Linked DNA regions of Oryctolagus cuniculus. The protein of the gene in region 1 interacts with the protein of each later gene in a biochemical or structural test. Links are inferred from orthologs where the notes say so. Each region holds a gene or a part of one and is shown on either strand. Other genes may lie near its edges.

Region 1 (3,813 bases):
ATTAACCACCTCTATTGTTTTCAATAAGATGTTTACTTCACAACCAGATACTAGCTATCCTGGGTAACTCAGATATAGTATGCATACAATAGAAAAATCTACACCAGGCTGGGGTTACATCCCTCTGCCAAGAGGCAGATGACCTGTTCCTGGCTATAGTAGTCAAAGAGACAAGACACTAGGAGATATTACACATGGCAAACTCTTTATTTTCTTATTAACACTAAAGCAGAAAATACAAACATTAAAACAGAATATGAACAACAATCTATTGCCCCATTTTCAAAGCAGGCACAAAACATACAAAAGACATTTTAAATCAGCTTAACTCCAAACCCTCTAATGGGAAAACCACCAGAGGTAGACAGAGGTAAGGGAACATGGTAGACAGAGACCCTGGTAGTGCTCAGTGGACTAGAGCTAGTCAGGTACAGCTTCCTGCAAGTAGGGTGGTCCCCCATTTCCCATGGAGAAATCAGTCATAGTCACGTCAATTCGCTTCCAAAACATCCAAGCATATTGTAGGAATGCAAGGTCAGGCAAACCTTGAGATTCACCCAACCTCCCTAGTAACAAATCCCTTAGTTCCTACTCTTAGGGGAAACCAATGAGTATCAGTTGAGTAGACTTCAAAGCAAGTCAAATCCTAACCTACCCCAAAGAGAAAGGCAGTCAGAGGCTGACCACTCGCATCCTCTCTGCCAGTCTGCTGAAATCAGATGACTTTCTACTGAAGTGTCGGGCCCAGGGAGCCACTCTTAATCAACATATCATAAGGAACATCTCCACCAAGAAAGGGGAGTTTTGCCCAGACTCCAGAAGGTGGCTTTTATAAAGATGTTCTCAAATAGAAGGAGGCCATTAAAAAGGTTAGTAACTAGAATATGGAACTCTGGGGAAATCCACAACAATGAGAAAAATCCTGGCAACCTTCCAGACAGTTGATAGCTCAGAATTGTTTTATAATAAAAGTAGCATCTCTCTGACAATCATGTAAGAAAAAACATCCTGCATCAAAGAACAGGGCAGTGACCTGCCACCCCTTGAAGACGGTGGTTCAGCAGAGGAGCCTGAGGCAAACAGAAACTGAGCCTCCAGTGGAGAGACCAGCGCTCAGTGCTGGCCAGTGCAGGAGAGGAACGACAGCTGGTGAGCATCTCCCTGCCACCATGTGGGTCTCCAGCCACCACTCTCTTCCTGAGAATAACCTTTTATTACCTACACTTTTACAAAACATTATGGAGGAAAATCAGAGGAACTTAAGAGTCAAACATCAATTTCAGAGAGGAAAGCTTTTACCTGGGAACTAAAAACATGCTCAAGAACAGTCCCTTACTCTGAGGGATTGGCTTTATTGAGATAGGAACTCTCAAAATGGTAAAAAACAAGCCGTTCTATCCTCAAAAATGGTTTGAGTGTAGCTTCTCTCCTGTGAGCTCTTAGTCCTTTGCTCTCAATCTTAGGTGAGACTAAAATAAGAGCTTTGACATATCATTCATTTTTTCCTAGTGAGAGAGGAAAGCAGTAGTCTTTAAAGCTTTGAATTGGATAAAACTAACCCTGAGATCCTAAAATAGCTAAATATACAAGCCTTCCCTATTGCTCAAACAACTGGTCTTTTGTCTTTAGATCTCAAAATATGCAATGAGTTTAATGTACTCAGCATTAGCAAAGATTCTAACACTCATCAGTTGCCTTCATCACTGGGCTTGCTGACATTCCAGCACCGTGTGCCTCAAACGTAACTACTGTTGCCACAAAGCATGCCAGATGTGTTCTACCACACATTTCTGTGGAGATGAGACCAAGGTACCAAAAGGTCAGCCATTAGGCTGAGAAATAAATTAAATCACACACAAGGTTCCACAGTGCCCTCTTGTGTTTAACTGGAGAAGGACTCTTCTACATCCATGCTGCATCCAAGCAGCAAACAATGCAGGACTCTCAAAGCAATTAACCCAGTGAAAAGACCATTCAAGTGGGGTGTCATATCCCCTGGAAAACGCTTGGTGAACACGCCTATCTTAGAAGACTGCTGAGAGGATATTCTCAGGTCCAACAGAAAGACAGGAAATAAAGACAGATTCCCAAAAAAGACTCAAGAAGGCTCGTAACTCAAGAAATAGAAAATGAAGATGGACCACCAGTACTTACTCTTTTAAGGGATATAGCAGATACACAATCTGTAGTGTCTAAGTGACCTGGAGTCCCAGAATCATATTAATCCAAAAGAACCATGATCCCAAAAGTTGTCCACAAGCAATAAACAGGAATATTACTCAAGGCTGCTAGGTGCTAGCAAAAAGCATTTAACATGAACCATCAGTAGATCTGAAAGCTCAAAACCATGGTCACTCCCACCTATAGAGGTGGACCATCTTCTCTGTCAAGGTGGCCAGGTAGCTATTATGGTTCACCTCAAATGGGCAGATGTCCAAGACAGGATGATCAGTCTGCAGGTCCTGTAACTTTGAGCCATTGCTGGCATCCCACAGCTAAAGAAAAGCAAAGACAAAGGTTAGTAGTCAGTTCAGGTTGGGGATTTGCTCTCTTAATCATCAAACAACTCTGAAAGAGCTACTGAGAGAGCCATGCCTGGGGAGCAAACAAACTGTTCCTAACCTTCACAAGGTATCACAAAAGCCAGCATACCTTACATGGTACAAGTATAGCTTCACCTAGGATAATCAGCAGTTATTCCAACTTTGAAATGAGTTTGAAAACCAAGCCTGGTACTCATTTCTTCAATTATTGTACCAGGAAGTCTTCTAGGGCCGTCATTTCTAGTGACAAAGGATCAGTAAGACAAAGCCCCTGTTACAGTCCTCAGGGAACATACCTTTTAACTGTGCTTCCTTCTCCTTTCTAATAACTTTTAATATTACTAAAAACATTTAAAAGCACTTAAAAAAGTAGACAGAATAGTACAATGAGCTACTCATCACCTAGATTCAACATTACATTTTTACTATATCTGTTTTATCAACCCTATTTTTTTTATTCTACCAGCTTCAGCCATTTTACCCTTATTTACTTAAGTATGCATCTCTAACACCTCAATGCCATCATGTCCAACAAAATGAATATACTATTATCTAAAACCTGGTACATAAACTTCCCGGGGAGTTTTTTTTTACATCCTGTTTGTTTCTATCAGGTCCACATTACATTTGGTAGCTATTTCTTTTAAATCCAGAGCAGATCCAATCTCCGATTTCCCCCTGCCCCCACCTTGCAGAAGCTGGGTCAGCTGTCTTACAGAATGCCCACAACCTGGGCTTGTTTGCTTTCTGTGCTATCATTCAACTTGTGGCTCAATTCCCTACAATTCCAGTCAGTGAAGGTTAACAACAGTCTCAGGATGGCACTCTTAAAACAGTGGCAACTAGCCATGTTTATATTTAACTAAAACAAAGTTCTTCACTCATACTAACCACATTTCAAGTGGCTAGTATTCTGGACAATGTTGTTATCAGCCTTGATTAAACTTAGGTTCAAGTATACCTTACAGGAGGCACTGTGTGCTTCAAATTATCTTAAACAGGCACAATATTACTGGTTAACCCACTTACAGTGATGCTAAGAAGACTAGTCAACAAGTTCAGGTGATAGGCTGGTCCGTCCACCACCAAATTGCCTATCAACTTTTCATCTGCTGACTTCATTCTGAGTTGATGAAGTTGATGCTTTGGGTAAGTTATTTTACTGGAGTTTCAGTAGTGCCTTTTTTCCCTCCAAAAAATTTATTTATTTCTTTGAAAGACAGAGTTACAGAGAGAGAGAAGGAGCGGATTTCTATCAGTAGTCAGGAGC
Region 2 (3,813 bases), on another chromosome or scaffold:
TTCTTAAGATTTTCTTACTTTGAAAGAGCTACAGAAAGAAAGAGAGCGAGCGAGCGAGCGAGAGCTTGCTTTCACTGGTTCATTCCCCAAATGCCTGAAAAAGCTAGGGCTGGGCCAGGCTGAAGTCAGGACCCCAGAATTCCATTTTGGTCTTCTACATGGGCGGCAGGAACTCAACTAATTGGGCCATCATCTGCTGTCCTCCTAGGTGCACTGGCGGGAAGATGGATCAGATGTGGAACACCTGGGACTCAAACAGGTGCTCTGATAGGAGATGCCGACACTGGAAATGGTGGCTTGATCACTGAGCCATGACACTGGCCACCAAACAGCTATCTGTAGAGGGCCAGTACTGTGGCCAGCAGGCTGAACTGCTGCTTGGGACGCCCACTCCCTTACTGGAATGCTGGTTTGAGTCCCACTCCTCTGCTTCCGATCCTGCTAATGTACCCTGGGAGGCAGTAAATGATGGCTCAAGAGCTTGGGCCCTGCCATATACATGGGAGCACCCAGATGGAGCTTCAGGCTCCAGGCTTAGGCCTGGTCCAGCCCTTTTGTAGGCATTTTGGAAGTAAACCAACAGGTGGAAGCTATCTTTGTTTATGTCTCTCTCTCTGCCTTTCAAACAGATAAATAAGTAAACATTCAAAAAAGAAGTCACTTAAAGCACTTATGGTACACTGTTCCTCATCATCACAAGCACTCTGAGATACGGGCTATTCCCCTCACTTCACAGAACAGGAAATGGAATTACACCTGGACATTCTCTCCTATCTAGGCCTACACTATCAACTGGTTCACAGTAACAAATAACCACCTCCAAGCAAAGCAGTGCTCAGTCGGTCTGGCCAGTTCATCATACTGCGGCAGGAAGCTGCTCGTCTGAAGTGGACTGAGGTGTCAGCAGACCGTCTAATGGCTTCCAGTCTAGAGAGCCCAATGCACTCACGTCCGCAAGGGGACACCGGAGGGTCAGGAGCTAGGGACCTCCCTCCGTAGTGTAAAGCCCACGAGGTATCAGGCCGCTGCTCAGAATGACGTCTCTTACATAGCGGACCTTAGTGTTTGCTGAATGAACAAATTAATTATGAATGTGCCCCGCAGGGGAGACCAGGAGAAGCACCTGGCTCCTGGCTTAGGATCAGCGCGGTGCACAGGCCACAGCGCGCTGGCCGCAACGGCCATTAGGGGTGAACCAACGGAAAACGAAGACCTTTGTCTCTGTCTCTCTCTCTCACTGTCCACTCTGCCTGTCAAAAAAATAAATAAATAAAATAAAAAAAAAATTATGAATGTGCCGAGCAGCACCCTCTCCTGAGTCCTTCCATGTATCCGCGCTGAACAACTTCCCCTCTGTCAATGAGGTTGTAGCAAGCTTTTACTGCGTTGCTGGTTTTTATTTTTAAATTATTATCTGAAAGGGAGAGAGAGAGAAAATCTTCCATGTACTGGTTTATTCCCCAAATGCCTGCAACAGCCAGTGCTGGGCCAGGCCAAAGCTGGGATCTATGAACTTCACTGGATTTCCCATATGGGTGAAAAGGACCCAACTATTGGAGTTAGCGCCTTAGCATTAGCAGGAAGCTGGACTGGAAGGGGAGCTGGGACTTGAACGTGGAGAAGCTACTGCGGGATGTGAGTGTCCCAAGTGGTAACAACTGCTGTGCCAAAGGCTACTTTTCCACCCTAGGAAACCCTGATGAGGTGAAATGGGTACAACTGTGGAACCCCAGCTTGCAGAAACCCAATACTCACTTGATCGAGGCCACAGTCATGTGATGGAGTTGGTTCTTAAGATCATGAAAGTTTAATCCCTCAGGTCGTGGGCAAGCCTTAATCAAATTCAGCACCTTCAAGATTCAAATCAGAAACATATTAGCAACCACATAAATACACTGCCCTTTTCAAACCTCAGTCCCTTTGTAAGGGAGAAATGAGCCAGGTACTGGGAGCCTTAGTGCACTGAGGAAGCAAGGCCACGCAAGGCCGACTGCCAACATTTCTGAGGCCACACAGGTGTGGGCTACCTGATTCTGGGCTGGAGTGAGGCCATTTGCCGGCAGGAAGCTGTTCCCGCTGAAGTTTCCTGCTTCACTCATTCCTGGATTGCTGAAAGATGCTCTCCCTGCTGAGGGCTGGAGCTAAAAAAGGAGTTCACAACGTTAGAAATATTTCAAACAATTTGTTAATAAGCAGCCGATAAGAAACAGTTTAAGCGAAGAGCTTTCCCAATGACAACTGCTCACACTGGAAGGACAGCTACTATCTGATGAGAATTTCATAGTCCTCTGCAGCACAGAATATCAGAGAGAGACAGACAGACACACAGACAGACAGACACTCCTAGCTCCTCTTTTTTGCAGTGTGAGAACCACAGGAAAGGCAGCATGGAGAGCAAAGCCCCAGAGACCTGCTGTGATAGGACCCCAGGGCTCAATCCCCTGGGCACTGACTGACCGGTCAGCGAGGCACGAGGCTACACAGAGAGACCAACGGAGACACAGTCCCCACTGTCTCTCCTTCCGTTCTAACACCAGACTCCTCAAAGCGAGCCTATAAGCACTGTTTTTATTTCCTTTCTCCTTGGTCCCGGCTCAGCCCATCACTATCGGAATTCCCCAAATCTACCTCTGGAACTTTCTCTTCAAAGTCACGACCTTTCCCCCAGTGACCCACACATCTCTTTCCCTCTGCCCAGAGCCTGCCGTCTCAGAAGCACACACTGCTGACCACACCTTCTCACATACCACTATAGCTCCCTCTTCTACTGTCTACAAAAAAGGCTGACAGACGGGGCCAGCGCTGTGGCGTAGCAGGTAAAGCCGCTGCCTGCAGTGCCAGCAGCCCATAAGGGCACCAGTTCGAGTTCTGGCTGCTCCATTTCAGTTCCAGCTCTCTGCTATGGCCTAGGAAAGGAATAGAAGATGGTGGCCCAAGGACTCCCTACACCATGTGGGAGACCCAGAAGAAGCTTCTGGATTCGGATCAGCTCAGCTCCAGCCACTGCGGCCAATTGGGGAGTGAACCAACGGAAGGAAGACCTCTCTCTCTTTGCCTTTCAAATAAATAAATAAATCTTTAAAAAAAAAAAAAAAAGTGACAGTTCCCATAGACCTCTTCCTGACCATTCTCACTGCTGGCTCTCCACTGGGTACTGCGACCTGGATAGCTCAGACACTCAGAGTAAAGTCAAATCCATTACTTTCCTCCCCAACCTGTTCCGCTGCTATAGCCCACATCCATTAGTAAACCAATTCCGATCCCAACCCTGCAGACTTCCACAGTCGATCACCACGGCCTGTGAATGAAGCCGATTCTTTCCCCGCTCACTGGTACCTCAGGCTCTAGTTCCCGTATGCCAATCAAAGCCCCTGCCCCCCACTGCTACCCCTGGCATTTTCCTATGAACATGTCTCTGCTCTGCTTAAAAGCTGTCCGGTGGCTCCCTCTGCCTGTGAAAACAGACTAGACATGCAAGACTCAAGTCCACTCTGTACTTCCTCTTGACTTCTCCCACACTTTCCCAAGCTGCGCCTGACTTCTTGCCACCCTCAAACTCGCCTCTGTTCTCAACATGTTGTTCCCTGTCTGGGGAGACGCTCTCTGATGGACAAGGACATAAGCCTCAGCCATTCTCCCTCGCTGCCCAAAGGAGATGCACATAGGAATATATTCCTTGCCCTTGAATCTCAAATGGGTCTCATCCTACTGTCTTCATACCCACACCCCCAGTCACGGGAAAGACCAGTTTCAGGAATTCCCCTCTGCCTGCTGCCACTACCCCACCCCCACCCCCAGCCCTCCTAAAATGTA

The links.
Region 2: the proteins of RFWD3 (region 1) and RPA2 form a complex in vitro, tested with the Homo sapiens proteins (3 studies listed by BioGRID, with this or other methods). The link is inferred for Oryctolagus cuniculus from reciprocal best matches to the Homo sapiens genes RFWD3 and RPA2.

The regions. Positions count from the first base shown.
Region 1 is NC_091449.1:57,204,540-57,208,352, forward strand, and holds the end of RFWD3 (E3 ubiquitin-protein ligase RFWD3), read right to left. Parts: intron 2,496-3,813; coding exon 2,352-2,495; 3' UTR 187-2,351; downstream 1-186. UniProt on the Homo sapiens protein: E3 ubiquitin-protein ligase required for the repair of DNA interstrand cross-links (ICL) in response to DNA damage. Plays a key role in RPA-mediated DNA damage signaling and repair.
Region 2 is NC_091438.1:143,738,601-143,742,413, reverse strand, and holds part of RPA2 (replication protein A 32 kDa subunit), read right to left. Parts: intron 2,142-3,813; coding exon 2,028-2,141; intron 1,851-2,027; coding exon 1,756-1,850; intron 1-1,755. UniProt on the Homo sapiens protein: As part of the heterotrimeric replication protein A complex (RPA/RP-A), binds and stabilizes single-stranded DNA intermediates that form during DNA replication or upon DNA stress.